Anolis sagrei: one gene and its partners. The protein of the gene in region 2 interacts with the protein of the main gene of each other region in a pairwise test. Links are inferred from orthologs where the notes say so. Each region holds a gene or a part of one and is shown on either strand. Other genes may lie near its edges. The genes, in order: PKP4, GOLGA2, RITA1 and CUL5.

Region 1 (7,746 bases), on a different chromosome or scaffold from region 2:
TTTGGCTGTTAAGAGAGCTGGGCAAGGAGCGGATCTGTTGCAGCAGTCTTCCTAGGCATTCCTCACATTCCTGCACTATCGGAAAGCTCCAGGAGCAAACTACGTGCCCCCTCCCACACACAAGCACACACACCTGCCCTCCCATTCGCCCAGAGAGCCAACCGCTTCCGTCCGTCTGTCGCACTCCTCAAACATGCAGCCAAAAAGGCAAGCAGCCACTACCCCTCCCAGTCTTCCCCCTACAAAGTGATTGCAGGGGCATAGGAGTTGTGAGGTCTGGTCTGCTTCAGAGGAAAGCCAGGACAGGGAGAAAGAGAGCGGGGAGAAAGAGAAAATGCCACTGGCACTCTATGGATTCTCTCCTCAAGCTTAGATGCAAGGAGCTCTAACAAGCAAATGGGGGAAATACAAGATGGGGCGAGGTCGAGTGAGGGTAGACTATACAGGTTAAGAAAGAAGGGTTTTTGGAGGGCCAAGACTGAGCCGAGGGAACAGGGAAATGAGGGGAAGGGCTTTTAAGAAGCCGAAGAAGCAGGAAGAAATGCCTGCAACGACAAGGAGAGAAAGGCTGAGGCAAAGGAATGGAAATAGAATTGAAGGGATGGAAAGCGAATTGTCAGGGTTTGGGAGGCATGAACAGGTTTGTGCATACTAGTCAGGAGGAGAGCTGTTACTGGCACTCAAGGAATGGGAAAAAGGCACACAGGAGTAAACAGATAACTAAAAGGCAATATCAGATACAGGATAAGGAGTGAAAAGCTTTACAGAAATTAGAGCGCATCCCTTTTAACAAGGGGCCAAAAATTAAAGAAAGGCCAGGATTTTTTTTCAAAAGGCAATGTTCAGGGAGTGAAGGACATCAGGTAAATTCCTGGTGAGGAAGAATAGCAAGTTACAATGAGAGGAATTTCAGGGGAGATAAATATCGTGAGATGAGTGGGGAGGGAGTTATTTCAGGACAAATGGAAACATTAAGAGAGTCTATGTTCTAGTAAAAGACTCGTGGGGTGCTGTATAGAATGGTACCCATTTCAACCAGTAAGCCCAAACTACACGAGGAAGGGCAAAGGAGACAAGTAATAAAAAGGAGGTGGCGGAATCTGCATAAAGGAAGTTGTTACAGGAGATAGGAGGACAGCTAAGGTGGAGCCTATTTATATTAAAAAAATTGAACAAGAAACTGATGGATATGGGCATCCTTAGAATTTTTTAAAATTGTGCCAGGAGCAACTTAAGAATTTGCAAGTCGCTTCTGGTGTGAGAGAATTGGCTGTCTGCAAGGACGTTGCCCAGAGGACACCCGGATGTTTGACCACACTGTGGGAGGTTTCTCTCATGTCCCCACATGGTGAACTGGAGCTGACAGACAGGAGCTCACCCCGCACCCCGGATTTGAACCGCTGACCTTTTGGTCAATAGCCCTGTCAGCACAAGAGTTTAACCCATTGCTCCACCACAACACACTCTTAGGATAAGAAATAAATAAATAAAATGTTTAGGATGGGAAGACACAGAAGGCAGAGTTGATGGAAGCAGAATATTGTCAGGATGATAAGATGGAGCACCCACTGCTGATTTACAAAAGAAAATAAGTAAAATAGGGAAATGGGTGGGGGGAAAGCACCCTGAAGATAAAGAGAAAGGGGGGAGGGGGAATTATGCTTAGGATGGGAAGATAAGGAAGGAGGAGGTATAGTGGGAAGGGGGGCAATGCAAAGGTTACTTAGAGGGTAAAGGAGAGGATCTTGGAAAGTGGGATGGGAAAGGAAACGAGAAAAGACAAGACAAGCAGCAATGTTTATGAGGAGCGGCAGTCCTAAGCAGAGCCAAACCAAGGAGACACACTGACGATGAGAAATAATTACACCGTAAATATAATAAAAATAAGATATAGTGGGGGAGAGGGGCGATGCAAAGGTTACTTAGAGGGTAAAAGAAAGGATCTTGGGAGTCGTAAAGTGGGATGAGAAAGGAAGCAAAAGGAGACAAGATAAGCAGAGAGGAAGCAGTGCTAAGCATAACCAAACCAAGGAGACACATTACATTGACCATGGGAAATAAATACATTTGAATATAATAAAAAATGATATGATGATGGTGATACCACGAGGATTTCAAGGGAGGCTGGCAAGTTTTGGGAGAATGATGGGGCACTTGAAACCCTCCTGTTTGAAACAAATACATGTAAATATAATAAAAAATAATGATGTGATGATACCACAAGGATCTCAAGGGAGGCTGGCAAGTTTTGGGAGAATTATGAGGCACTTGAAACCCTCCAGTTTGAAACAAATACATGTAAATGTAATAAAAAATAATGATATGATGATGATGATACCACGAGGATTTCAAGGGAGGTTGGCAAGTTTTGAGAGAATGAGGGGGCAATTGAAACCGTCCTGTTTGAAACAAATACATGTAAATGTAATAAAAAATAATGATATGATGATGATGATGATACCACGAGGATTTCAAGGGAGGTTGGCAAGTTTTGAGAGAATGAGGGGGCACTTGAAACTCTCCTGTTTCGCAATGGGAGGTCAAAATGGGGGGTAATAATTACACTAACAACAATATAATACTAGTAATGCGATAAAGTAATAATATGACCACAAGGAGGGGCAAGTTGGAGGAAAGGATGGGAAAGAGGCGAGCCAGGCTGGATGCCTCGTGCCTTCTTCCCCTTGGTCTCCCACAGGGAGGGAAGTTGCTGGAAGAAGGAGAGGGCAAGGCGGGGGTGAGGGTGGCGAGGAGCTGCCTCAGGATGCAGGGAGGCGACCCACCTGGCCCCGCGCCCTCCCCTCCTCCCTCCCTCCCTCACGCTCTTCCTTCCCTCACTCCCTCACTCACCGCGGCGCCGAGTCTTCGCTGGCGCGGAGGGGCCGCCACCGCCGCCTCCCCGCCGGCCGGGAAGGGCCCTACCCCGGGGCGCCCATGGTCCCGGTGCCGCCACCGCTGAGGAGAAACACGAAACCCTCCTTCCTTCCTCCCTCCCTCCCTTCCTTCGCCGCCTGCTTCTCCCCGCCCCTCCGCCAGACGTCAGCGCCTCGCCCTGCCCTGCGCCTCGCCCCGATTGGAGGAGCGCGCCGCGAGACGCCTCGCCATTGGCCCGCCGCGGGGCTCAAACCGCCCAATGGCGGAGCCAGCTGAGGTTGCCAGGGTTACCGATGCTGTGAAGAGGCCGGCGGGCGAGCAGGCGAGGAGAAGGAGAAGAAGGGGGGAAGCTGCACTTCCTTCAGGTCAGGCCCGGCCCAGGGAGAGGGGCTCTCTCGCACCTCCACACCCCGCTACAGTCATCTACAGTTTGACACCGTTTTCAACTGCCAAGGCTCCATGCTGGGGGATCCTGGGAGTTGTAAATTTGGTGAGGCACCAGCACTCTTCGGCCGAGCAGCAACCTCGAGGCCTTCTGAAGCTACAGCTCCCACTATTCCATAGGATTGAGCCATGGCAGTCAATGTCTGCTCAAGCTGCGTTCCAATTTACAGTGTACATCAGGCCTGGGCAAACTTCGGCCCTCCAGGTGTTTTGGATTCTAACTCCCACAATTCCTAACAGGAATTGTGGGAGTTAGGGTCCAAAACACCTGGAGGGCCGAAGTTTGCCCAGGCCTGATGTACAGTGTACACTGATGTACACTGTTTGCCCAGGCCTGATGTACACCTAACAGGAATTGTGGGAGTTGGAGTACAAAACACCTGTAGGAATTGTGGGAGTTGGAGTCCAAAACACTTCAGCCCTCCAGGTGTTTTGGACTCCAACTCCCACAATTCCTAAAAGGAATTGTGGGAGTGGGAGTGCAAAACACCTGTAGGAATTGTGGGAGTTGGAGTCCAAAACACCTGGAGGGCTGAAGTTTGCCCAAGCCTAATTCCTAACAGTTTGGAATTGTGGGAGTTGAAGTCCAAAACACCTAGAGGGCCAGAGTTTGCCCCTGCCAGGTGTAGATGCAGGGAGAAATTGGGAGGTAATGAGGGGAGGATGGGGACCAATAACAGCAAGAGATGCATGGACTTCAACTCCCACAATTCCTAACACTTAGGAATTGTGGGAGTTGAAGTGCAAAACACCTGGAGGGCCAAAGTTTGCTCATACCTGGTGTAGATGCACTCCAGGGCGGTAATGGGGGAGGATGGGAACCAATAACAGCAAGAGATGCAGGAACTTGTGCCCTAAGTAAACTCTATTGCTTCCCCACCACTTTCAGGATGCATCTACACCAGGCCTGGGCAAACTTCGTCCCTGCAGGTTGTTTGGACTCCAACTCCCACAATTCCTAACACTTAGGAATTGTAGGAGTTGAAGTGCAAAACATCTGGAGGGCCAAAGTTTGCTCATGCTTGGTATAGATGCACTCCAGGGAGGAACTGGGAGGTAATGGGGGAGGATGGGAACCAATAACAGCAAGAAATGCAGGAACTTCTGCTCTAAGTAAACTCTGCTGCACTGGTTCTTAACCTGTGGGTCCCCAGATGTTTTGGCCTTCAACTCCCAGAACCCCTAACAGCTAGTAAATTAGCTAGGATTACTGGGAGTTGTTGGCCAAAACATCTGGGGACCCAAAGGCTGAGAACCACTGGTCTAGTGTTTCCTCCACTATTCTCGGGGTGCATCTATATCAGGCCTGGGCAGACTTGAGCCTTCCAGTTGTTTTGGACTCCAACTTTCACTATTCATAACAGTTAGGAACTGTGGGAGTTGAAGTCCAAAACACCTGGAGGGCCAAAGTCTGCCCCTGCCTGATGTAGATGCACCCCAGGGAGGAACTGGGGGGAGAATGGGAACCAATAACAGCAGGAACTTGTGCCCTAAGTAAACTCTACTGTTTCCTCACCACTCAGGGTGCACCAGGCATGGGAAAGCTTTGGCCCTCCAGATGTTTTGGACGCCAAATCCCACAATTCCTAATATTTAGGAATTGTGGGTGTTGAAGACCAAAACACCTGGAGGGCCAAAGTTATCTACACTGTGTAATTAATGCAGTTTGACCCCACTTTAAGTGCCATGGCTCTGCACTATGGAATCCTGTAATAATAATGATAATGATAATATTCCTTACCCGCCTCTCCTCATGGCTCGAGGTGGGTTACAAAACAATTAAAATACATAAATACGGCTAATGATGATGGGAAGCAGAACTCAGGCAGAGAAGATTAAATGCCTAGTAAAATTTCTAATCCCATGCCACCATAGCGTTGAGCCATGAAAATTAAAGTGGTGTGAAACTGAATTAATTCTACAGTATAAATGCATCCTCAGAAACGTCTTCATCAAATAGATTAAAGCCACACAGGCAACATGCCTTTTAAATAGTACTGTTGTCCGGGTTTGCATTTTCTTTGCAGCTCTTTTTTTCCTTCTTCTGCTGTTTCCCTCATACACATTTTCTTTCTTTCTTCCCTTTATCTTCCTTCACTTCTCTTCGCTTCTTTTTCTTTCTAACCTCCCTCCCTCCCCCCCCCCTTTTTCCCATTCCTTTCTCTTTCTTTCCCTTCCCTCATACCTTCTCCCCAGGCCCGTAGCCAGGATTTCGATTTGGGGGGAGGGGCGGGGCTGAGTTTTTGTCAGGGTTTTTTGGGGGGGCTGAGTTTGGGGGGGGGGGCTGTGTCTGAGTGAAAAAGGGTCTACCCTAGCAAACCTTTTGTATCATTACCCACTTCTCCATGCATATGGGATATATTGAGTATGGTGATCAGATCATGATATGAATAAACAACAGTTTAAATAATGCACCAATAAGGCCTTTTCGCGAACCACCATAAGAATTTCAGGGGGGGGGCTGAAGCCCCTCAAGACCCCCCCCCCCCCCGCTACATGCCTGCTTCTCCTCTTTCCTTTCTCTTCCTTCCCTCCTTTTTCTTTCTTCTCTCTCACTCTTTTCCTTTTTCCTTCCTTTGTTTCCCTTTGTTTTCCTTCCTCCCTACCTTCTCTGCATACACATCACTTAGCAGCAGCCAATCTACTTCCCTCCCTTTCTTTCCCAAGTATGTTACAGAGGGCCACTTCACCTAGCAACAGCCAATCCACTTTGTTCCTTTTCTTTCCCTCAACTCTGCTGTATTTTTGTATTTGTCCCTAACATATATGAGATATATTTTATTTACTTTGTGTGTGTGCATGTGTGTGTATCCTTCCCACAAATTTTGTTGAAGATTTTGGAGATGTACTTTACTAAAGGTAACAGGTCCCATCTGATTTGCATGCGAAGGAAGGTCAGGCCTGATTAATACTTGGATGGGACAGCCAACACATACGGTCCTATGGGCTATATATATTTCAAAGGAATAGACTGGTAAAACTACCTCTGAGTATTCCTTGCCTAAGAAAACCCTATGAAATGTATAAAGTCACCATAAGTAGACAGGTGACATATTCACACACACAAGTAATAGCCAATACACTTAATGGAAACCCTATTTTTGATGTATTTTAAACAATCAGCAGTTCAGAAAGGAAAGTTATTTTTTCTGATGTTAATGGAGTTGCAGTTTTATTGCCCTCATTTTACAGCTTTTTGGCCACATCTACACTGTCATAAAATGCCATTTGAAGTTGTATTATGGTGGTGTGGATTGGGCCTTAGTTTCAGTGCTCACATGACTACAAAGGTCCTCTGATTCCATTGATATCTCTCCAGAACATCTTAACTGACAACAACAAAAACCCTGAGAGAACACAGACCTATGAGTCTAACTTCTCATTTTTTCTTTTTCTTGTATGATTGTTAACACTTTTGCCTAATGAAGAAGCCAGTGGAGCTTTGGAAGCATATGTGTTTTATGTGCATATTTTGTACATTTTTATTGTTTCGTGGATGTTTTGTTCTCTTAAAGTATGTATGTGCGTATCTTGTCTCTGATCAGATGTATGTAACTGCACATGCATGGTCACTTCACAAGAACAGTGCCTTTTAAGTTACAGAATCATAGAGTTCAAAGAGACTGCAAGGACCATCCAGTCCAACTTCCTGACATGCAGGTATACACTATCTGATATAGGAAAACCAGTCTCCTCCCACCCCAAGGTGGCCATATTTGTGTCCACTAGTTATATTTTATTTTTCCAATATGTCAAAGACTAGCACTATGTTTGCATCCATTGAGACCAACGTTTTTCTACTATTTCATTTTCCACATCATTTTGGTTTGTTAAGTATAATATATACAAGGGCAATTAGTTTATTTATATATAATTGTTTCTCATTCTTCAAACCATATGACTGAGTGGTGAAGTTAATTCTTTCTTGTTTAAACACATGGTGCATGTACACGGTAAAATTAATGCAGTATAACACTACATTACTCTGATTCATTGCCATGGAGTCACAGGAGCTGTAGCTTTACAAGGTATTCAGCCTTCTCTGCCACAGCGTGCTGGCACCTCACCAAACTACAACTCCCATGATTCTGTAGTATTGAACCATGGCAGTGTCAAATTGCATTAATTCCACCATGTAGATGCACCCCCAAGTGCATTACTGTACTGCTTTCCTTCAACCCTCTTGAGAATTTGCCTTTCAAGATACTAAGATGTTTCTGAATATATTTGAGTAGTAGCTATTCTATGCTTAGTGCAACCATAGCCATTGTCAAATTAAATATTAAACATTCACAAGCTTTGTAAAAGAGAGAGAGGAGAGGAAATGCAGCAGTGAGAAAAGAACGCCCAGTAAAGCAAAGTAGGGAAAGGAACTTGTTTAAGAACAAGGGGTATTACAGGCGTACGAGAATGGAGCATTTTTCATTT
Region 2 (7,740 bases):
CTAATTCAAGGTGCAGGTTATCACCTACAAAGCCCTGAACGGTTTGGGACTCGTCTACCTTCATGACCACAGCTCCTTCCATAAACCTCCTCTGGGGAGGCTCTCCTTTCACTGCCACTTTTATGTCAAGTACAACTGGTGGAGACGAGAGAGAGACCCTTCTCTGCTGTGGCCCCTCAGTTTTGAAACTCGCTACCTAGTAAGATTAGGCAAGCCCCTACCCTGGCAGCTTTTAAGAAAGACCTAAAAACTTGGCTCTTCTGATATGCCTTTGGCAAGTGAACATATATTCCATATTTTGTCTGTTCCAACTACAGTTCCATCTTCATGATGCACTTTCCCCTGCCCTTAATGAAGGTCTAACCCAGGGGTCCTCAAACTAAGGCCCGGGGGCCGAATACGGCCCTCCAAGGTCATGTACCTGGCCCTCAAGTCTGAAATTCCTTGAAAACATACAACAACAACAACAACAACAACAATCCTATCTCATAAGCCAAAAGCAGGTCCACACTTCTCATTGAAATACTAATAAGTTTATATTTGTAAAAATTGTTTTCATTTTAATTTTTGCATTGTTTTAAAGGGTTTTTTTTGCACTACAAATAAGATATGTTCAGTGCACATAGGAATTCATTCATTTTTTTCAAATTATAATCTGGTTCTCCAAAAGTTTGAGGGACTGTGACCTGGCCCTCTGTTTAAAAAGTTTGAGGACCCCTGGTCTAACCCCATAGTTCATTCTTTTTGAGCTCTTCCCTCAGAAAGACATTCTCCCATCACTTATCTCATCCAGGGTTTTATCAATTTTATCCTAGTGCATTTGACCCGCCCACTGCATTCTATTTCTCTATCATGTTATTTTGTGATTGTTTATTTTATTTTGTTATTTCATGATTTTTTATTTTGATTTTAATTTTGCTTCTTTCTATTTTATCTTGCTGTACTATAATTTTGGGCTTGGCCTCTTGTTAGCCGCTCTGAGTCCCCTTTGGGGAGATGGTGGCAGGATACAAATAAAATTTATTATTATAATTACTGATGCAGGCCAAAATCCCATTCTTTTTTTAGCTGTCGAACGACATAGTTGGCTCATGTTAACTTGTTGCCCACGAAAACTCCAAAATCTTTTTCATACTGATATCGAGCCTGGCATTGTCCACCGGTCTGTATCATTGCATTTCATTTTTTCTGACTAAGTGGAGTATGTAGAGATGCCCAAGGATCTGCTTCCTCCCAAGAAACACCTCTCAAACTAAGAAACTATTTCACGTTTCTCTGAGCTCTGTCACTTTGTTTCAGCATTTAAATACAGACAGATGCATATAAGTGCATGTCAGAATAGAATAACTGCATCTCCGTTTACGAACCCACACGTTCATTTCGTTCATCTGGAGAGGCCCTGCTTGTGATCCCGCCTGCATCACAAGCGCATTTGGTGGGGACACAAGACAGGGCCTTTTCTGTGGTGGCCCCCCGACTCTGGAACACACACCCCCCCCCCAAAGATCTTAGACAGGCCCCTACATTGGCAGTCTTTAGAAACAACTTGAAGACCTGGCTGTTCCGATGTGCCTTCCCAGAATAGGAAATCTCCAATACCAAGTCCCAGAAGCACTTTATTAGAACTATGATTGCCGCGCACTGCACACTCCACTTACCCTATAATCCTTATATACCACCTGTCACATCAGCACTTTTAATTCTGTACCCATTACTCTGGCCTGGTCCAGTTTTATTGTGTTTTGGTGTATTGTTTATTGTTTTGTTGTTTAATATTGCTTTAATTGTTTTAATTTGCTTTAGGTCTGGAGAACAAGCCCTATGAAGAGCGGTTTAAAGAGCTGAGCATGTTTCGCCTGAAGAAGAGATGGCTGAGAGGAGACATGATAGCCGTGTATCAATATGTGAGAGGAAGACACAGGGAGGAGGGAGCAAGCTTGCTTTTCTGCTTCCCTGGAGACTAAGACACGGAACAATGGCTTCAAACTACAAGAAAGGAGATTCCATCTGAACATGAGGAAGAACTTCCTGACTGTGAGAGCTGTTCAGCAGTGGAACTCTCTGCCCTAGAGTGTGGTGGAGGCTCCTTCTTTGGAGGCTTTTAAACAGAGGCTGGATAGCCGTCTGTCAGGGGTGCTTTGAATGCAATATTCCTGCTTCTTGGCAGAATGGGGTTGGACTGGATGGCCCATGAGGTCTCTTCCAACTCTATGATTCTTGCATTTGTCTTTGTGGATATAGATACAGATCTATAAATCCCACTTGCCAAGTTTCCAAGAGACCTCACAATGTCTGGGGATGCCCGTCATAGATTTGGGCAAAACGTCAGGAGAGAATGCTTCTGGGACATGGCCAGACAGCCGGGAAAACTCACAGCAACCCAAAAACACCCTGAGTGGGTTGCTCCAGCCTGAGCCATCCAGTCCAACCCCATTCTGCCAAGAAGCAGGAATATTGCATTCAAATCACCCCTGACAGATGGCCATCCAGCCTCTGTTTAAAAGCCTCCAAAGAAGGAGCCTCCACCACACTCCTGGGCAGAGAGTTCCACTGCTGAACGGCTCTCACAATGTGGGCCTTGAGAAGGGAGGCGCGGCCTCTCTCTTCGGAGCAATCCCACTACGGGGCGGGCTGGGGTCTTCCGGCCTCCGAGGGGCGTGCCTAGGCCGGAGAGGCGCCTCGGAGGGGGCTAGGCCTCTGCCTGGCTGAGAAGGGGGCAACTAGGGGCGTGCCTGGGCCTAGAGGCCTAGGCCGCCTGGCGTCGTCGTAGTTGCTGTTTCGAGCCTGAGGCAAACTCCTCTCGGCCTCCCCTGCCTTCCCTTGCCGCGTTACCTTCTTCTTGGCCGCCGCCAGCTTGCTCTGCCTGCTCCCGTCCGCCATGTCCCCGGCCACGTCAGCCCGGAGGAAGGAGGGGAGGGCGGGGACAGCGCCGCCAGCTGACAAGACGGGGAGAGCTAATCGAGGCTCCGCCCGGGCCTAGCTTGGACGCGGCATTGCGCAGGCGCGGCCCTGACAGGCCCCGCTCCCAAGAGGGGGAGAGCCTAATTGGGGAGCGGCACTGCGCAGGCGCAGCCCTGGCAGGCCCCGCCCCCACGACGGGGAGAGCTAATCGAGGCTCCGCCCGGGCCTAACTTGGAAGCGGCATTGCGCAGGCGCAGCCTTGACAGGCCCCGCTCCCATGACGGGGAGAGCCTAATTGGGGAGCGGCACTGCGCAGGCGCAACTCTGGCAGGCCCCGCCCCCAAGGCGGAGAGAGCTAATCTAGGCTCCGCCCGGGCTTAGTGGAGAGCCGTACTGATTGGGTAGCGGCATTGCGCAGGCGTAGCCCTGACAGGCCCCGCCCCCAAGAGCCAATCTAGGCTCCGCCCGGGCCTAGTGGGGAGCCGCACTGCGCAGGCGCGGCCTCTGACAGGCTCTTTCCCAGGCGGAAGGGAGTGCGCAGGCGCAGTCTGCCTTCGCGCCATTTCGAAGCCTCCTCGTCCAGAGTTCCCTCACGAATGAAGTGCGTTCCTGCATTCCATTCAGTCAGGGGGAAAATAAAACAGCCAAACACTGTACAGAGAAGTAAAATCTGAGGTATTTATTGGTAATTGAGAGTGTCAACATAACGTTTCCAAGGAAGTTTTGTCGAGCATAGTGTCTAGATCTAGGGAAGTCATTCTCCCCATGCTCTATTCCGCCTTGGTTAGACCACACCTGGAATATTGTGTCCAATTCTGGGCACCACAATTGAAGAGAGATATTGACAAGCTGGAATGTGTCCAGAGGAGGGCGACTAAAATGATCAAGGGGCTGGAGAACAAGCCCTATGAGGAGCGGCTTAAGGAGCTGGGCATGTTTAGCCTGAAGACTTTTTTTATATGGCATCAAATTGTTTCCAGTCTGTAAGGCTGCCCTGAGTCCTCTTCGGGGTAAGAAATGCGGGGTATAAATATGATAAATAAATAAATTATTTTTTTAAATGTCTCAGTCTCATTCTTCTCCCAATTTTCCTTATTTGTAATCTTTTTCCAGTTGCTGCAAACTGAGTTAAAAGTACAAGAATGGGTGACACTCAATTGACTCGGCAAGATGATTATTATTTATATCCTGCTTTCTCTTTCCCAAAGGGGAATCAAAGCGGCTAGCACTAAACAAATTATACAATATCTATAATTATGTTACTAACTGGAGCGGGTAGCAGGGAGCACACAACGCCCTTGTTGTCCCAGCTCCACTGGCTGCCGATTTGCTACCGGACCCAATTCAAGGTGCTGGTCTTGGCCTACAAAGCCCTAAACGGCTCCGGCCCAAAATACCTTTCTGACCGCATCTTGGCCTACGAGCCCACGAGGACCTTGAGATCGTCTGGGGAGGCCCTTCTCTCGATCCCGCCTGCATCACAGGCACGGCTGGCGGGGACGAGGGAGAGGGCCTTCTCGGTGGTGGCCCCCCGGCTGTGGAACACTCTCCCGGCACACATCAGACAGGCGCCCTCCCTCATGTCCTTTCGAAAAAGCCTTAAGACCTGGCTGTTCGAGAGGGCATTTAATTAAGTGCTAAGCAACAACATTACGGTAATGAGAACTGGAATGGTACAAGGAAGATGAGACTGGCTATGATTCTACTAAGAGACGAAGCGGATTTTTATGTAGTTTGTATTTGTCGTATAGTTATATGTTGTTGATACTGGCCTTTGTAACTGTCTTTTTATGTGTACTGTACACCGCCATGAGTCGCCCGTAAGGGCTGAGAATGGCGGTTAATAAGTGCATCAAATAAATAATAAATAATAAATAAATATATTAAAACCCAGCAAGATGATTGTTATTATTTATATCCTGCTTTCTCTCTCCCAAAGGAGTATCAAAGCGGCTAACACTAAACAAATCATACAAATATGTAAATTGTCCTTTAGAAGACAAGTGAAGACTTAGCCCTGGGACTAGGCATTTCATTAATCAAATAGCGGCAATTGGAAAAAAGACTTAGGATATTTACGACATTGAATCTGCTTAGACTTGGATTTGATTTTACCGGCATGTATAATCTACTGTCTAATGAATTGTATAATGTGTTTTAATGGTTTTTAATGCTTTAATTCTACTTCGAATTGACAGCATCGTATGGTGCTTCTGTGAGGCCGCCCTGAGTTCCCCTTTGGGGGAGAAGGGAGGGGTAAAAGTGCATGAAATAAATAAATAAAACTCGGAACATACAAATATTAAAATAGAATTAAATATATGACTTATTAAAAGATACATACTTCAAACCAACAAAACAATTAGACTACATAAAACATAACACTTCCTGGTTCAGTCTTGAAAACTTTCTTCTTATAAGGTTTTTAATCTGTTTGTTTGATTGATTGATATGTGTTTTAATTGCTTATATGTTTAATTTGTTTATATTTTGATGAGATGTGTTTTATTGTTTACCTGTGCAGCATTGAATTTTTGCCAGATTTGAAAGCTGCCTTGATTTCCCTTTAGGATCAAGAAAGGCGGGGTAGAAATGAAATTAATTAATTAAAGAGCTGTCTGAAAAAAAACTCTTGTCCTTCCCAGTAGGCTTGGGCAAAAGGAAACTGCTGCAAACCCTCCTAGCTTATATATTCTTCCTTTTCAATCATGTTTCTCATTTTGACTACACTTTGCTGTTGTTCGACCAGTTTTCATATGTGAAATTGTGAAGGACATACTGTATGCTCCTACTTTCAGCATGATTGATGCCAGAGAATAGCAGTGACAGTCTGTCACATCTTTTCCGCTTGGGCCCACCATCATTTTGGCCTGACGAACACGTATATTCATAAAACCATACATACGCACACACCCTATTCCGACCTGTACTTTCTTGGTGTGTTTCTACACTGTAGAATTAATGCAGTTTGACACTACTTTTACTGCTATGTCTCAGTGCTATGGAATCCTGGGAATTGTAGTTCGGGCAGGCCCAGCACTCTTTGGCAGAGAAGGCTCAAGAGCTTCTTGTGATTATCTTGACCGATCGCAGTTAGTGAGAAATTGCATTGATCATTGTCTTGTCTGCAGTGGAGGATATTAATTCCATTGCAAGATTCAACATCCAGCTCATTCGCTTCCAGGCCTCTGTCTCTCTCCAACAAAATGTCTTAGGCCTGCTTTGAAAAGATCCTTGGTTGCAGATTTGCAGGATGGGCAGCCACAGCCCTGTGAAATCGGCTCAGAGAAAAGCTGTGCTTGTCTTCCCTCTCATCATATCATTCCCAAAGTATTCAAGCCATGTGAAAAGCTTATTAAATAATGACTCAGAGGGAAGGGCTGCTTACTCTACCTGAAATACCAGCTCCACTCATACTTGCCTGGAGGCTGTATCACACATTTATGAAGAAATACTGCTCAGCTCAAAACTTAAAAGTGTTACAAATCAGATTTATTATATTTATGCATTTAGGGATTTTAAGACCTTACCTTTTTTATTTGACTCAAGATGTAGAATGAATGCAGTTTGACATTACTTTATGTTTCAATGCTATGGAATCCTGGGAGTTGTAGCTTTACAAGGTCTTGAGCCTTCTCTGCCTAAAAATGCTGGTGCCATACCAAACTAAAACTCCCAGGATTCCATAGTACTGAGCCATGGTATTTCAAGTGTTGTTAAACTTGCATTCATTCTTCAGTGAAAAAGGAAATAATCCCCAGCAAAATGTCCTCCGAAGCACTTGTAACTACTCATTGGGTTGCTCTACCTTCATTTCTTTTAAAACCCTCCTATCAGATACATCCTATCTCTGTTCATGCCCAGCGTTTATTTTTTTAAAATTTTAAACTATTACATTTGGCCCGGCCATAGGTTTTTTTTAAAACCCTTGTGTGTTACTGTTTATATATGAGTTATATTAATTGTATTGTTTCTGCTTATTGTTTTTTGTTTTATTGATGTGTTGTCGGGCTTGGTTTCATGTAAGCCGCTCTGACTCCCCTTGGGGAGATGGTGGCTGGGTGTAAACAAAGTCGTCTCCTTCTCCTTCTCCTTATTATTATTATTATTATTATTATTATTACAGTGTAGAAGCCAATTTTCACCTTGTTTAATTCAGGATTTGGCTGTTTAAAGGCAATTCAGAGCTTTGAGATTACAGCTCCCAGAATCCCCCAAATTGGGAGAGAGTAATGGGAGTGCTTGTCCCAAAGCACTATGGATCACTCTATCTCTCTATCTATCTATCTTGTCTATCTAAAAATGCTCTGTGCATAATGAGTACCTTAAAAACAAAAGAACCAATGAACGAAATCACACCAAAATTGGCAACAAAACGTCTCACTACACAAGGAGTGACCATCACTCAAAAAATTATGCTTTTGTCATTTGGGAATTGTAGTTGCTGAGATTTATAGTTCACCTACAATCAAAGAGCATTCTGAACTCCACCAACGATCGAATTTAACCAAACTTGGCACACGGAACTCCCGTGACCAACACAAAATACTGAGAGGGTTTGGTGGGCATTGACCTTGAGTTTGGGAGTTGTAGTTCATCTACATCCAGAGAGCACTGTGGACTCAAACAATAATGGATCTGGACCAAACTTGGCAAGAATACTCGCCTAAGACATTTTGCTGGGGAGAGACAGAATGCCCAAATGTGAACACAGAAAATAAAAAATAGACCTTGACATTTGGGAGTTGTAGTTACTACGATGTATAGTTCACCTACAATCAAAGAGCATTCTGAACCTCACCAACAATAGAATTGGGCCAAACATCCCACACAGAACAC
Region 3 (7,608 bases), on a different chromosome or scaffold from region 2:
GAGAACTACAACTCCCAGGATGCCATCGCACTGAGTTCACCATAGGGTGCGTCTACATTGTGGAATGAATGCAGGTTGACCCCATTTAAACTGCCTGGGCTCAAGGTAATAGGTCTTCCTGGAAGTTCTAGTTTCCCAAGGTCTTGAGTCCCAAGGTCTTCAGCAGCATAGAAGCTCCCAGAGGGGGCTCAAACCCTTGGGAAACTAGAACCTCCAGGAGGACCTATTACCCTGGAGCAGAAGCATCTATGCTGCTGAATGAATGCAGCTTGATGTCCCTTGAACTGCCAGGCCTCCAGGGTACGGAATCCTGCGAGTTATAGTTTAGCAGGCCTTGGAGAACTACAACTCCCAGGACACCATTGCACTGAGTTCACCATAGGGCGCGTCTACATTGTGGAATGGATGCAGGTTGACCCAATTTAAACTGCCCGGGCTCAGGGCAATAGGTCTTCCTGGAAGTTCTAGTTTCCCAAGGTCTTGAGTCCCAAGGTCTTCAGCAGCATAGAAGCTCCCAGAGGGGACTCAAGACCTTGGGAAACTAGAACTTCCAGGAGGGCCTATTACCCTGGAGCAGAAGCATCTATGCTGCTGAATGAATGCAGCTTGATGTCCCTTGAACTGCCAGGCCTCCAGGGTACGGAATCCTGCGAGTTATAGTTTAGCAGGCCTTGGAGAACTACAACTCCCAGGACACCATTGCACTGAGTTCACCATAGGGCGCGTCTACATTGTGGAATGGATGCAGGTTGACCCAATTTAAACTGCCTGGGCTCAGGGTAATAGGTCTTCCTGGAAGTTCTAGTTTCCCAAGGTCTTGAGTCCCAAGGTCTTCAGCAGCATAGAAGCTCCCAGAGGAGACTCAAGACCTTGGGAAACTAGAACTTCCAGGAGGGCCTATTACCCTGGAGCAGAAGCATCTATGCTGCTGAATGAATGCAGCTTGATGTCCCTTGAACTGCCAGGCCTCCAGGGTATGGAATCCTGCGAGTTATAGTTTAGCAGGCCTTGGAGAACTACAACTCCCAGGATGCCATTGCACTGAGTTCACCATAGGGCGCGTCTACATTGTGGAATGATGCAGGTTGACCCCATTTAAACTGCCCAGGCTCAGGGCAATAGGTCTTCCTGGAAGTTCTAGTTTCCCAAGGTCTTGAGTCCCAAGGTCTTCAGCAGCATAGAAGCACCCAGATGGGGCTCAAGACCTTGGGAAACTAGAACTTCCAGGAGGACCTATTACCCTGGAGCAGAAGCATCTATGCTGCTGAATGAATGCAGCTTGATGTCCCTTGAACTGCCAGGCCTCCAGGGTATGGAATCCTGCGAGTTATAGTTTGGCAGGCCTTGGAAAACTACAACTCCCAGGATGCCATTGCACTGAGTTCACCATAGGGCTCGTCTACATTGTGGAATGGATACAGGTTGACCCAATTTAAACTGCCTGGGCTCAGGGTAATAGGTCTTCCTGGAAGTTCTAGTCTCCCAAGGTCTTGAGTCCCAAGGTCTTCAGCAGCATAGAAGCACCCAGAGGGGGCTCAAGACCTTGGGAAACTAGAACTTCCAGGAGGGCCTATTACCCTGGAGCAGAAGCATCTATGCTGCTGAATGAATGCAGCTTGATGTCCCTTGAACTGCCAGGCCTCCAGGGTATGGAATTCTGCGAGTTATAGTTTGGCAGGCCTTGGAGAACTACAACTCCCAGGACGCCATTGCACTGAGTTCACCATAGGGCGCGTCTACATTGTGGAATGGATGCAGGTTGACCCCATTTAAACTGCCTGGGCTCAGGGTAATAGGTCCTCCTGGAAGTTCAAGTTTCCCAAGGTCTTGAGCCCCCTCTGGGGGCATCTATGCTGCTGAATGAATGCAGATTAATCTCCCTTGAACTGCTAGGCCTCCAGGGTATGGAATCCTGCGAGTTATAGTTTGGCAGGCCTTGGAGAACTACAACTCCCAGGACACCATTGCACTGAGTTCACCATAGGGTGCGTCTACATTGTGGAATGGATGCAGGTGGACCCAATTTGAACTGCCCGGGCTCAGGGTAATAGGTCCTCCTGGAAGTTCTAGTTTCCCAAGGTCTTGAGCCTCCTCTGCGTGCATCTGTGCTGCTGAATGAATGGAGCTTGATGTCCCTTGAACTGCCAGGCCTCCGGGGTATGGAATCCTGCGAGTTATAGTTTAGCAGGCCTTGGAGAACTACAACTCCCAGGACACCATTGCACTGAGTTCACTATAGGGCGCGTCTACATTGTGGAATGATGCAGGTTGACCCAATTTAAACTGCCCGGGCTCAGGGTAATAGGTCTTCCTGTAAGTTCTAGTTTCCCAAGGTCTTGAGTCCCAAGGTCTTCAGCAGCATAGAAGCACCCAGAGGGGGCTCAAGACCTTGGGAAACTAGAACTTCCAGGAAGACCTATTACCCTGAGCCCAGGCAGTTTAAATGGGGTCAACCTGCATCCATTCCACAATGTAGACGCGCCATTTAAACTGCCCGGGCTCAGGGTAATAGGTCTTCCTGCAAGTTCTAGTTTCCCAAGGTCTTGAGTCTTCCCCGCCGAACCACAACTCGCAGGATCCCCTATCTGGAGCCAAAGCAGTTCAGGGGAGGTCAAGCTGTCCTCATTCGACCGTGCAGCATATGCACCCTTTTCATTGTTTGCATCTCGTTTCCCTGGGAAACGACTGCAAAGCAGCAGAAAACCAGCCAATCCAAGCCATCTCTGGCTTTTGCACACGGCCTGAGGCATTCTCTTCCCTTTCTTTTTGCAGTCCTACCTTTTCAGCCCGGCCCCGATCCCCCCCTCGGCCCCGATCTTACGGTTTGCTCGCCTCCTTGGCCCCTCTTTCGGCCACCGATCAGCTCCTCATGAAAGAAGACGAGGAACAACTCTTCACTTCCGGTTCCCATTCGCGGCTCTTGATTAGAGCAAGACAGGAACTTGCTGGCTTCTCTGCTTTGCTTTCTGATGGCTTGGTTTCATGCACACACAAAATATTATATTTCAGGCTGTGCGTCTCTGCAACATAAATGACTGTCTTTTTTAGGCTTGGGTGTCATACACCAGATCTCTCATGAAAATATCTCAGGGTACATTTAAACTCTACAAATAATATAATATAATATTGTTGTTGTTCATTCGTTCAGTCGTCTCCGACTCTTCGTGACCTCATGGACCAGCCTACGCCAGAGCTCCCTGTCGGCCGTTACCACCCCCAGCTCCCTCAAGGTCAGTCCAGTCACTTCAAGGATGCCATCCATCCATCTTGCCCTTGGTCGGCCCCTCTTCCTTTTGCCTTCCACTTTCCCCAGCATAATTGTCTTCTCTAGGCTTTCCTGTCTCCTCATGATGTGGCCAAAGTACTTCAGCTTTGTCTCTAGTATCTTTCCCTCCAGTGAGCAGTCGGGCTTTATTTCCTGGAGGATGGACTGGTTGGATCTTCTCGCAGTCCAAGGCACTCTCAGCACTTTCCTCCAACACCACAGCTCAAAAGCATCGATCTTCCTTCGCTCAGCCTTCCCTAAGGTCCAGCTCTCACATCCGTAGGTGACTACAGGGAATACCATGGCTTTATAATATAATATAATATAATATAATATAATATAATATAGCATAACATAATTAATATAATACTTTTTAATATTATATTATGATATAATACAATATAATATTATTATATAATAATATATAATAAGGATCCAATGCTATGGGATCGAATAATACAATACAATATAACAGTATATTATTATATGACTATCTATCTTCTATATATATAAAAATGCTCTGTTCATAATGAGTACCTTAAAAACAAAAGAACCAGTGAACGAAATCACACCAAATTTGGCAACAAAACATCTCACCACACAAGGAGTGACCATCACTCAAAAAAATTATGATTTTGTCATTTGGGAGTTGTAGTTGCTGGGATTTATAGTTCACCTACACTCAAAGAGCATTCTGAACTCCATCAATGATGGAATTGAACCAAACTTGGCACACAGAACTCCCATGACCAACAGAAAATACTGGAAGGGTTTGGTGGGCATTGACCTTGAGTTTGGGAGTTGTAGTTCTCCTACATCCAGAGAGCACTGTGGACTCAAACAATGATGGATCGGGACCAAACTGGGCACAAACACTCGATACACCCAAATATGAACACAGATGGAGTTTGGGGGAAATAGACCTTGACATTTGAGAGTTGTAATCACTGGGATTCACAGTTCACTTACAATCAAAGAGCATGATGAACCCCACAAGCGATAGAATTGGGGCAAACTTCCCACACAGAACCCCCATGACCAACAGAAAATACTTAAGGCCATCCAATCTAACTCCCTTCTTCAGGGCAAGAAAACGTTATCAAAACCCTCCTGACAAAGAGCCATCCAGCCATAGATTAGATAGATAGACAGACAGACAGATACATATGATTCACACACAGAGAGATATAGTATCATAGATTTGAAAGGGACCCTTAAAGAAGGACAATGATATGTTGCATGTTCCAGGGTGGGCAAACCAGACACTCTCCACATCAACAGTGACAAAGAAACAAGAAGTACGGTTTACCTGCAAGCATAAAGAAATTACGTATATTAGAAACCAACACTTTCTCATTACTTTATTTTCCAGATCAACAGACTGGACCACAGCAACGCGTGGCAGGGTACAGCTAGTATCACATAATGTAATAAAATAATAATGTATTATATAATAAATAAAATATCAGTGTCTGATACAGAACATGGCCATATAGCCCGGAAAAACCTACAACAACCCAGTGATTCCGGCCATGAAAGCCTTCGACAATACAATAAAATATTATATTATTATATTATACAATAGGGAGACACTGGTGGCGCAGTGGGTTAAACTGCTGGGCTGCTGACCTTGCTGACCGAAAGGTTGCAGGTTCAAATCTGGGAAGCGGCATGAGCTTCCGCTGTCAGCCCCAGCTTCTGCCAGCCTAATGATATTGAGCTAGAGTTTGGAGACTCACCCAGGAGAACGGAGCCCTAAGACCCACCAAAGTGCTGGTGTTGACCTATAAATCCCTAAACGACTCCGGCCCAGTTTACCTGTCCAAACGGATTCTCTCCTATGAACCATCAAGGTTGTTAAGATCTTCTGGAGGGGGCCTGCTCTCGGTCCCACCACCTTCACAATTGTGTCTGGTGGGGACGAGGGACAGCACCTTCTCGGTGGTGGCCCCTCGGCTCTGGAACTCTCTCCCATTGGAGATTAGATCCGCCTCTTCCCTCCTGACTTTCAGAAAGCTGGTAAAAACATGGCTTTTGTGTGATATTGTATGATCTGTATTTTAATGTATTAATGTATTATGATGCTATTATGTTCATTATATATGTGTTGAATTTTCTGCTGTTAGCCGGCCTGAGTCCCTCTTCGGAGGTCGAGAAGACCGGGTTATAAAAGCTCTAAATAAAAAAATTAAAAAATGAGGATCCGGAACTCTGGCGAGCAAAGGAAAAGCCAATAGAATTTTCCCCAGATTTTTCCCAATAAATCTCACCAAAATTGAAGAAAAGCCACCGAGTTGTATTTATTTCATCCAGCTGGTACGGATGTCAAACCGCGATAGTTCGTCAGGAGAGACATACATTCAATACATTGCAGTACATTTTTATAGAGAAACAGAGCTGTCAAAGTTCAAATTTCCCACCCCTCAGCCAGCCTTCTCCTGATTGGTTGTTGTCATCAGCTGGAGAGGAGGCGCAGCCAGCTTGACTGCGCCTCAGTGAATCAGAAAGCCAGTGCCACTTCGAGCTTTCGACCAATAGGAGCGGAGGAGGCGGTCCTTGGGAAGAACAATGAAAGGAATGTCCAGATGATTGAATTAGAATGGCTCAATGTGTCCAAATGGCTGGCGATTAATCAAAAGAAAAGATTCCTCAAGCTGGCTGGGTATTCTTGAAAGGTTGCGATATGCAGATATGGCGGGTGTAAAGATCCCTTACCTTGCCAGCTGGGGGGTGGCAGGGCCTAGGAAGAGACAGGCTAGGTAGTTTCAGCTTAGGAAGGCCTGGCAGAGAGCGGCAGGAGCCATCTTAGTTTAGGGAAGACTCCAGTTCAGAGAGGGGGAGTGGCCTAGGCCTGTGCCAGCCCAGCAACAGCCAGGATTGGTTTGGAAAAGGGGGGCGGAGTTAGCCAGTTGGAGGGAAAGAGAGAAGCTTATTTTGACAGTTCAGTTCAGTTCTGGGTGATGTTAGAGTAGGATTAGAGTTTTAGGAGTCTCTGTTAGGAATAGGCAGCTTGCCTGTAGTTTGCACAGCAAAGTAGGCTGTGGCAGACTGGTTACAGCTATTTTAGAAAGGAAATAGCTGGGTTTTCTTTAGGAATTGTAACAAAGAATAGAACCATTCTCTCAAGCAACCATTACGCTTCTAAGAACCAAGAACACTTTAATTTGTAACAGCAAAGACTCTACAACTGCATTCACTTTTATTCTGTAACTTGTATTCAATAAACCTTTCTTGTTATTTTTAAAATTTAAGCCTGAGTCAAGTGCCATTTGTAGATTCAGTCTTTTTTTCTTTTTAAATCAACCTCTCCTGTTTCCCCTCAAAGAAGCCCTTTTTAATACACAGTGTTTGGTGGTCCTAGAAAAGCCTTTTAACATTCTAAATAGCTAGAGGGTTCCTGATTCTTCAGTTTATGGTGGCAGCGAAGGTTTTAATCAAGAGACATCCCCTCAAACACTATAAGTGCCAAAGTGGTGTGAATTCCTTATTGAAGGAGGGACAGTGTTGGGATCTGTTTGCCCCTGTCCAGTTATATTGTTTGGCCATCAAGAGCGTATCTTTATAGCGGGCACGATTGCCAAGCCCTGGTATTTCCTTGTCTTAGATATTGGATCACTTTGTAATTTGGTAGATTTTCTTGGTCCAAGGGGAAATGACAAAAGGGAGGAAGGCTGGGATATCCTGGCCTCCCTTGGAGGCAGGATGTTTCTTTGTTGATAGATGACTAGTTTACCAGGGGCCCTTTCCCAAGTGGTCATGATCCGAAACTGAGGGAGAGCCTGGTTATTATCATGTAAATAGTCTTTGTTGAAAACCTAGAATCAATGGAAATTTGCCCTAGGAAATGAACTTCCCAAGGCTGGTGTTTCACTGGGGTCACGAAAAGGGTGGCTTCCCATATTTCATATACAGACACATACATAAGGTTCAAGGGAGACACATAAGGGACAATGAAGCATAAAGGGATTTCATAATACACTCATCCCACCCACTAGAGTCCAAAGGAATAAGTTCATAAGCATGAAATCATATCATCCCTATTCATGCAAGGTAGTCCACCAAGTTTTTAAAAGTTCTTGAAAGTTTGGGAAAGTTGATCAAAGTTGTGAAATCCAGAAAAGGCAAGTGGGAAAAGGTGTCCCAGTGTCCACAGAGTCCTTATGAGCCGACTGCCAACGTTGAAGATTGAGATCCGTGGAGAGAACTACAGATCCCTCCATACCAAGGACTCAGGCAGCCTGCTGACATCTTGGGGTTCCTCTGGGGTGACTGCGACAGTTGCCCAAGATCAGCATGCTCCCTGGACATCCACAAAATGGTGGCAACGAGGCAATCTCCTTGGA
Region 4 (7,195 bases), on a different chromosome or scaffold from region 2:
ACCTGAACACGAAGAAGACCTTCCTGACTGTGAGAGCAGTGGAACTCTCTGCCCCAAAATGTGGTGGTGGCTCCTTCTTTGGTGGCTTTTAAACAGAGGCTGGATGGCCATCTGTCAGGGGTGCTTTGAATGTGATTTTTCCTGCTTCTTGATAGCGGGTTGGACTGGATGGCCCACGAGGTCTCTTCCAACTCTATGATTCTAAGAACTTCAATGTATCAGAATTATCTCAGGATCCTTCCATGCAGTTGTATAAAATCCACACTGAAATGGATTATATGGCAGTGTGGGCTCAGGGCCCTTCTACACAGACATACAACCCAAAACATCAAGGCAGATAATCTACAATGTCTGCCTTGGACTGGGTTATCTAAGTCCACCCTGACATATTCCAGTTCAATGTGAGATTGAATATAGCTGTGTGGAAGAGGCCTCAGCCCAAGCACAGATCTCTACATATAGCCATCCCCTGCCACATGTTGCTGTGGCCCAGTCTGGTGAGCTGGAAAATAAAGTAGGGAGAAAGTGTTGGTTGATGCAATTTCTTTATGCTTGTGGGTAAACAGTATTTCTTGTTGTTTCTTTGTCAGTGTTGATGTGGAGATTGTCTGGACTGCCTACTCTGGAACAAGCAACATATAATTGTCCTTCTTTAAGGATTCCCTTTCAAATATATACTATATCTGTCATATACATACATATTTGTGTGTGTGAATCATATATACCTTATCTGTATCTATGGCTTAATGGCTCTTTATCAGGAGGGCTTTGATTATGTTTTCTTGAAGGAAGTTGGGAGTGGATGGCCTTAAGGCAGCATTTCTCAACCTGGGGGTAGGGACCCTGGGGGGGGGGGTCACAAGGGGGCGTTAGAAGGGTTGCCAAAGACCACCAGAAAACACAGTATTTTCTGCTGGTCATGGAGGTTCTGTGTGGGAAGTTTGGCCCGATTCTATCGTTGGTGGGGTTCAGAATGCTCTTTGATTGTATGTGAACCATAAATCTCAGTAATGACAACTCCCAAATGTCAAGATCTATTTTCCCCCAACCCCATCTGTGTTCATATTTGGCATATGGAGTATTCATGCCAAGCTTGGTCTAGATTCTTAACTGTTTTGAGTCCACAGTGTTCTCTGGATGTAGGTAAACTACAACTCTTAAATTCAAGGTCCATGCCCACCAAACCCTCTAGATCAGTGGTTCTCAACCTGTGGGTCCCCAGGTGTTTTGGCCTACAACTCCCAGAAATCCCAGCCAGTTACCAGCTGTTAGGATTTCTGGGAGTTGAAGGCCAAAACATCTGGGGACCCACAGGTTGAGAACCACTGCTCTAGATCCTTAACTGTTTAAGTCCACAGTGTTCTCTAGATGTAGGTGAACTACAACTCTGAAATTCAAGCCCACCAAACCCTCCCTGTATTTTCTGTTGGTCATGGGAGTTCTGTGTGCCGGGTTTGTTCTACATCCTTAATTGTTTGAGTCCACAGTGCTCTCTGGATGTAGGTGAACTACAACTCCTAAACTCAAGGGCCATCAGATCCTTCTAGTGTTTTCTCTTGGCCTGTGTGCCAAGTTTGGCCCAATTCTATTGTTGGTGGAGTTTAGAATACTCTTTGATTGTGGGTGAACTATAAATCTCATGACTCCCAAATGTCAAGGTCTATTTTCCCCAAACCCCATCTGTGTTCATATTTGGCATATGGAGTATTCGTGCCAAGTTTGGTCTAGATCCTTAATTGTTTGAGTCCACAGTGTTCCCTGGATGTAGGTGAACTACAACTCCTAAACTCAAGATCCATGCCCACCAAACCCTTCTGGTGTTTTCTGTTGGTCATGGGAGTGCTGAGTGATAAGTTTGGCTCAATTCTATAGTTGGTGGGGTTCAGAATGCTCTTTGATTTTAGGTGAACTGTAAATCTCAGTAACTACAACTCCCAAATGTCAAGGTCTATTTTCCCCAAACCCCATCTGTGTTCATATTTGGCATATGGAGTTTGGTCTAGATCCTTAATTGTTTGAGTCCACAGTGTTCCCTGGATGTAGGTGAACCACAACTCCTAAACTCAAGGCCAGTGCCCACCAAACCCTTCTAGTGTTTTAAATCTCAGTAACTACAACTCCCAAATGTCAAGGTCTATTTTCCCCAAACCCCATCTGTGTTCATATTTGGCATATGGAGTTTGGTCTAGATCCTTAATTGTTTGAGTCCACAGTGTTCCCTGGATGTAGGTGAACTACAAATCCTAAATACAAGGCCCATGCCCACCAAACCCTTCTAGTGTTTTCTGTTGGTCAGGAGAGTCCTGTGTGATAAGTTTGACTCAGTTCTATAGTTGGTGGGGTTCAGAATGCTCTTTGATTGTAGGTGAACTATAAATCGCAGCAACTACAACTCCCAAGTGACAAAATCAATTCTGATGATCACTCCTTGGGTTAGTAGGTGCCTTGTGGCCAAATTTGGTGGCAATGAGTCCAGCGGTTTTTGAGTTATGATGTCACCCAAAACGAACACAGCACTTAAATATAGATAGATATAATCTACATACAGACACACAGCCTCTCTTCTTCCCTCCTCACTTCCCCTTCTTGGCTTTCCCTCTTCTCTTCCTCCTCCTCTCCACATAATAACCTCTCAACCCTCCTCCAGGCCCAGCCGCCTCCTCCTCTCACCTTTAAGAGATTAGACGTCGCCATGTTGCCCCCCTCCACAGCACGCAAGGGGAGGGGGGCCCGCGCAGGCGCACAAGAGAGGCCTGACCAGGCCGGCGGCGGCGGCGGCGGATGAGATTTCGGCGGCGGCGGTGGCGGCTTCCTCTCTTCCTTTGCCTTTACATGCTTCGCCGCTCGGTCAGGGGCTGGCACTAGCTTCCGCCTCCTCTTTCCCCCTCAGCGCCTCATGGCCTCTTTCACGGAGGAGGCTTCGCAGGAGAGCCGTCGTCTCGCAGCGGCCCGGCTCCGCGAGAGCCCACATGATGCGGCGCCCCAGAGCCGGAAGCCCCCGCCGCACCGAGGGAAGGGGAGGGAGGGAGGGAGAGTGTGCGCCGCTGAGGCTTCCCACCACAGCGACCCCTGCCGGCCGGAGGTCATCCTGACACTCTTTTTTTCTTCTTCCTCGCAGAATTCTGCCTTAACCTCCCTCCCCGCTGATGACGTCATCGCTAAGCTCTTGGAAGCTAAGCAGGGTCAGCCTTGGTCAGTACTTGGGTGGGAGGCCGCCAAGAAGGACCAGGTGATGTTTCACAAGGTGGGCCAAAAGTCACAACGGGGTTTCAGTATTTAAACATAATAACACACATTTATATTTATATGCATATTTATTTATTTATTTATTTATTTTATTTGCTTTTTTTCTATACCGCATTTTTTCAGCCCTTGACAGGCGACTCAATGCGGTTTACATGGTACAAGTATCAAACAGTGTCAGTGCAATTAAAACATAACAATGCAACAAACAGGATCAACAGCATCAATCCACAACAATTAACAATCAACAAGACAGATCAACAAGACAAACATAACATAACGCCTCAGTTGAAATCAGATCCGTTTTCATAATCCTTGTGCCATTCCTATGTTCCATTTACCGTCTTCCTATGATTGGTTGCACTGCTTAACCAAACGCTTGTTCATAAAGCCAGGTCTTAACCATTCTCCGAAACGTCAGCAGCGAAGGTGCCTGCCTGATGTCTGCCAGTAGGGCATTCCATAGCCGAGGGGCCACCACTGAGAAGGCCCTGTCTCTCGTCCCCGCCAAGCGCGCCTGTGACGCAGACGGGATCGAGAGCAGGGCCTCCCCAGACGATCTTAATGTTCTGGTCGGTTCATAGGTAGAGATGCGTTCGGAGAGGTAAGCAGGGCCAGAACCGTTTATGGCTTTATAGGCTAAAGCCAGCACCTTGAATTGTGCCCGGTAGCGGATTGGCAGCCAGTGGAGCTGGCTCAGCAGAGGAGTGGTATGCTCCCTGAGTGCCGCTCCCGTTAGCAACCTGGCCGCCGAGCGCTGGACCATCTGAAGCTTCCGGGCAGTCTTCAAGGGCAACCCCACGTAGAGCGCATTGCAGTAATCAATCCGGGATGTAACCAGAGCGTGGACTACCGTGGCCAAGTCAGACTTCCCAAGGTACGGGCGCAACTGGCAACATATATAATGTGTATATGTGTATACATGTACACACATATATTTGTATAAACACACATATGTGTATAAAGTGTGTATGTATATACATGTACATACATATACACAACATATATAATGTGTATATGTGTATACATGTACACACATATATTTGTATAAACACACATATGTGTATAAAGTGTGTATGTATATACATGTACATACATATACACACATTTATGTATGAAGTGTATATGTACATGTGTATACATGTATATCTCTGGTTGTACTGGTCCATACTCTCATCCAACCTTTTTAACTTGTATGCAGAACACATCATGCGATGTGCGGGGCTGGATGAATGCAAAGCTGGGGTGAAAATTGCTGGAAGAAACATTAACAACCTCAGATATGCAGATGACACCACTCTGATGGCCGAAAGCGAGGAGGAGCTGAGGAGCCTTCTAATCACGGTGAAAGAAGAAAGCGCAAAAGCGGGTTGCAGCTAAACATCAAAAAAACCAAGATTATGGCAACAAGAATGATTGACAACTGGAAAATAGAGGGAGAAAATGTGGAGGCCGTGACAGACTTTGTATTTCTAGGTGCAAAGATTACTTCAGATGCAGATTGTGGCCAGGAAATCAGAAGACGCTTACTTCTTGGGAGGAGAGCAATGTCCAGTCTCGATAAAATAGTAAAGAGTAGAGACATCAGACTGGCAACAAAGATCCGCCTAGTCAAAGCCATGGTATTCCCTGTAGTCACCTACGGATGTGAGAGCTGGACCTTAGGGAAGGCTGAGCGAAGGAAGATCGATGCTTTTGAGCTGTGGTGTTGGAGGAAAGTGCTGAGAGTGCCTTGGACTGCGAGAAGATCCAACCAGTCCATATTTCAGGAAATAAAGCCCGGCTGCTCATTGGAGGGAAGGATAGTAGAGACAAAGTTGAAGTACTTTGGCCACATCATGAGGAGACAGGAAAGCCTAGAGAAGACAATTATGCTGGGGAAGGTGGAAGGCAAAAGGAAGAGGGGCCAACCAAGGGCAAGATGGATGGATGGCATCCTTGAAGTGACTGGACTGACCTTGAGGGAGCTGGGGGTGGTGACGGCCAACAGGGAGCTCTGGCGTGGGCTGGTCCATGAGGTCACGAAGAGTCGGAGACGACTGAACGAATGAACAACAACATCTGTATGCATATAATGTCTCTGGCATAGACACTGAGAACTGGGAAGCCCTGGCTGGAGGTCAGCTGTGACCAGAAGTGCTGTAGAATCTGAAGGGGCAAAAGAGAGAAACATGTGAAAAGGAAGGCCTGCCAAGCCAACCCTGACTGGGACCACTTTCCACTTGGAAACCAATGCCCTCACTGCGGGAGAAGATTCAGATCAAGAATAGGGCTCCACAGTCACCGCTTATACACCGATCTTGGAAGACAATCCTACTCGGACAACGAGGGATCGCCTATGTATGTAAGTAAGTAAGTAAGTAAGTAAGCATATAATGTGTATATGTATATACATGTACACACATATATTTGTATACACACATGTGTATAAAGTGTATGTATATACATCTACACATATACACACATTTATGTATAATGTGTATATGTACATTATACACATGTATACACATATATGTATAATGTGTGTATGTATATACATGCACACATGTATTTATGTATGTGTATATGTATATACATGTACACACATATATACATTTATGTATGTGTATATGTATGTATGTGTGTAAATGTTTCACATGTAGATATTTATGTATGCTTATATGTATATACACATAAACACAAATATACACACATGTATACATATATACACATATACATGTATGTGTATAATGTATATATATATATATATCTGTGTACATGGACACACATAACATGTATAATGTGTATGTGTATATGCATGTACACACATATGTGCACACATATGTATAATGTTAATATATACATGTAAACACATATACACACATATATAATATGTATATGTATATACACGTACACACATGTATACAAACATATGTATAATGTGTATATGTGTATACAAGTACATACATATACATATATACACATATATTTATGTATGTTTAGATGTATATACATGTACACACATATACACACACAGGGTGCATCTACACTGTAGAATTTTACTGTTTATGGATGTATTTTAATTTGATTTATGTCTAACTGTAATTGTACAATTGTAATTGTTTGTGCTGGCATTGAATTTTGCCATTACCTATGTGGAAACCGCTTTGAGTCCCCTTCGGGGTGAGAAAAACGGTATACAAATGTTGTAAATAAATAATAAATAAATAAACATATCCTCTGAAGATGCCAGCCACAGATTCAGATGAAAAGTCAGGAGAAAATGCCTGGAAACCACACAACACCCCTGTGATTCGAGCTGTGAAAGCCTTCAATAATACAGATGTATCATATGTATGTTATTAAATATTGAAATTCCTTTGTGTCTTTTGGCCTACTCTATCTATTATGATGCCATGGTATTGGATATAATTTACCCAATTAGATTTTTTTACATGTAATGTACTCCATGTGATGCTATGATATTGTAACCTACAAAACAAAAAAATTAAGGAGTTATGAAATATTGAAAACTATTTGTGACTTTTGCCCACCTTATCGATTTCCAAGGAAGGAACTGGCAAAAATCACCTCTGTGAATGTACCTACGCTGTAGAATTATTGCAGTTTGCTACCATTTTAACTGCCATGACTCAATGCTGTGGAGTCATGGGAGTTGTACGTACCAGCACTATTGGCAAAGTGGGCTAGAGTCCTTGTAGAACTGCAACTCCCATGGTTCCATAGCATTAAACCATTACAGTTTGTCTATATTAATTTTACGGTGTAGGTGCACCTTATATATTTTGTGCCTAAGATAACTCTATGAAATTCACGAGGTCTCCATATGTCAAAAGGTGACATGGAGACGGGGCCTAAGTGATCTAGGTCTAGAAGTCTGATTATGAGCACTCTTTCTGCTTGTGTTTCATAGCATTGAGCCATGGCAGCTAAAACGGAGTGTAGATGTATT

What was found.
Region 1: the proteins of GOLGA2 (region 2) and PKP4 interact in binary tests that used the Homo sapiens proteins (3 or more experiments, as listed by UniProt). The two-hybrid records come from large-scale screens. The link is inferred for Anolis sagrei from reciprocal best matches to the Homo sapiens genes GOLGA2 and PKP4.
Region 3: the proteins of GOLGA2 (region 2) and RITA1 interact in binary tests that used the Homo sapiens proteins (3 or more experiments, as listed by UniProt). The two-hybrid records come from large-scale screens. The link is inferred for Anolis sagrei from reciprocal best matches to the Homo sapiens genes GOLGA2 and RITA1.
Region 4: the proteins of GOLGA2 (region 2) and CUL5 interact in binary tests that used the Homo sapiens proteins (3 or more experiments, as listed by UniProt). The two-hybrid records come from large-scale screens. The link is inferred for Anolis sagrei from reciprocal best matches to the Homo sapiens genes GOLGA2 and CUL5.

The regions. Positions count from the first base shown.
Region 1 is NC_090021.1:201,404,771-201,412,516, forward strand, and holds the start of PKP4 (plakophilin-4), read right to left. Parts: upstream 3,004-7,746; 5' UTR 2,851-3,003; intron 1-2,850. UniProt on the Homo sapiens protein: Plays a role as a regulator of Rho activity during cytokinesis. May play a role in junctional plaques.
Region 2 is NC_090031.1:16,805,317-16,813,056, forward strand, and holds the start of GOLGA2 (golgin subfamily A member 2), read right to left. Parts: upstream 3,016-7,740; 5' UTR 2,881-3,015; coding exon 2,833-2,880; intron 1-2,832. UniProt on the Homo sapiens protein: Peripheral membrane component of the cis-Golgi stack that acts as a membrane skeleton that maintains the structure of the Golgi apparatus, and as a vesicle thether that facilitates vesicle fusion to the Golgi membrane.
Region 3 is NC_090034.1:45,200,598-45,208,205, forward strand, and holds the start of RITA1 (RBPJ-interacting and tubulin-associated protein 1), read right to left. Parts: upstream 3,002-7,608; 5' UTR 2,822-3,001; intron 2,808-2,821; exon of another isoform or gene 2,779-2,807; intron 1-2,778. UniProt on the Homo sapiens protein: Tubulin-binding protein that acts as a negative regulator of Notch signaling pathway.
Region 4 is NC_090023.1:26,179,671-26,186,865, reverse strand, and holds the start of CUL5 (cullin-5), read right to left. Parts: upstream 3,011-7,195; 5' UTR 2,695-3,010; coding exon 2,671-2,694; intron 1-2,670. UniProt on the Homo sapiens protein: Core component of multiple cullin-5-RING E3 ubiquitin-protein ligase complexes (ECS complexes, also named CRL5 complexes), which mediate the ubiquitination and subsequent proteasomal degradation of target proteins.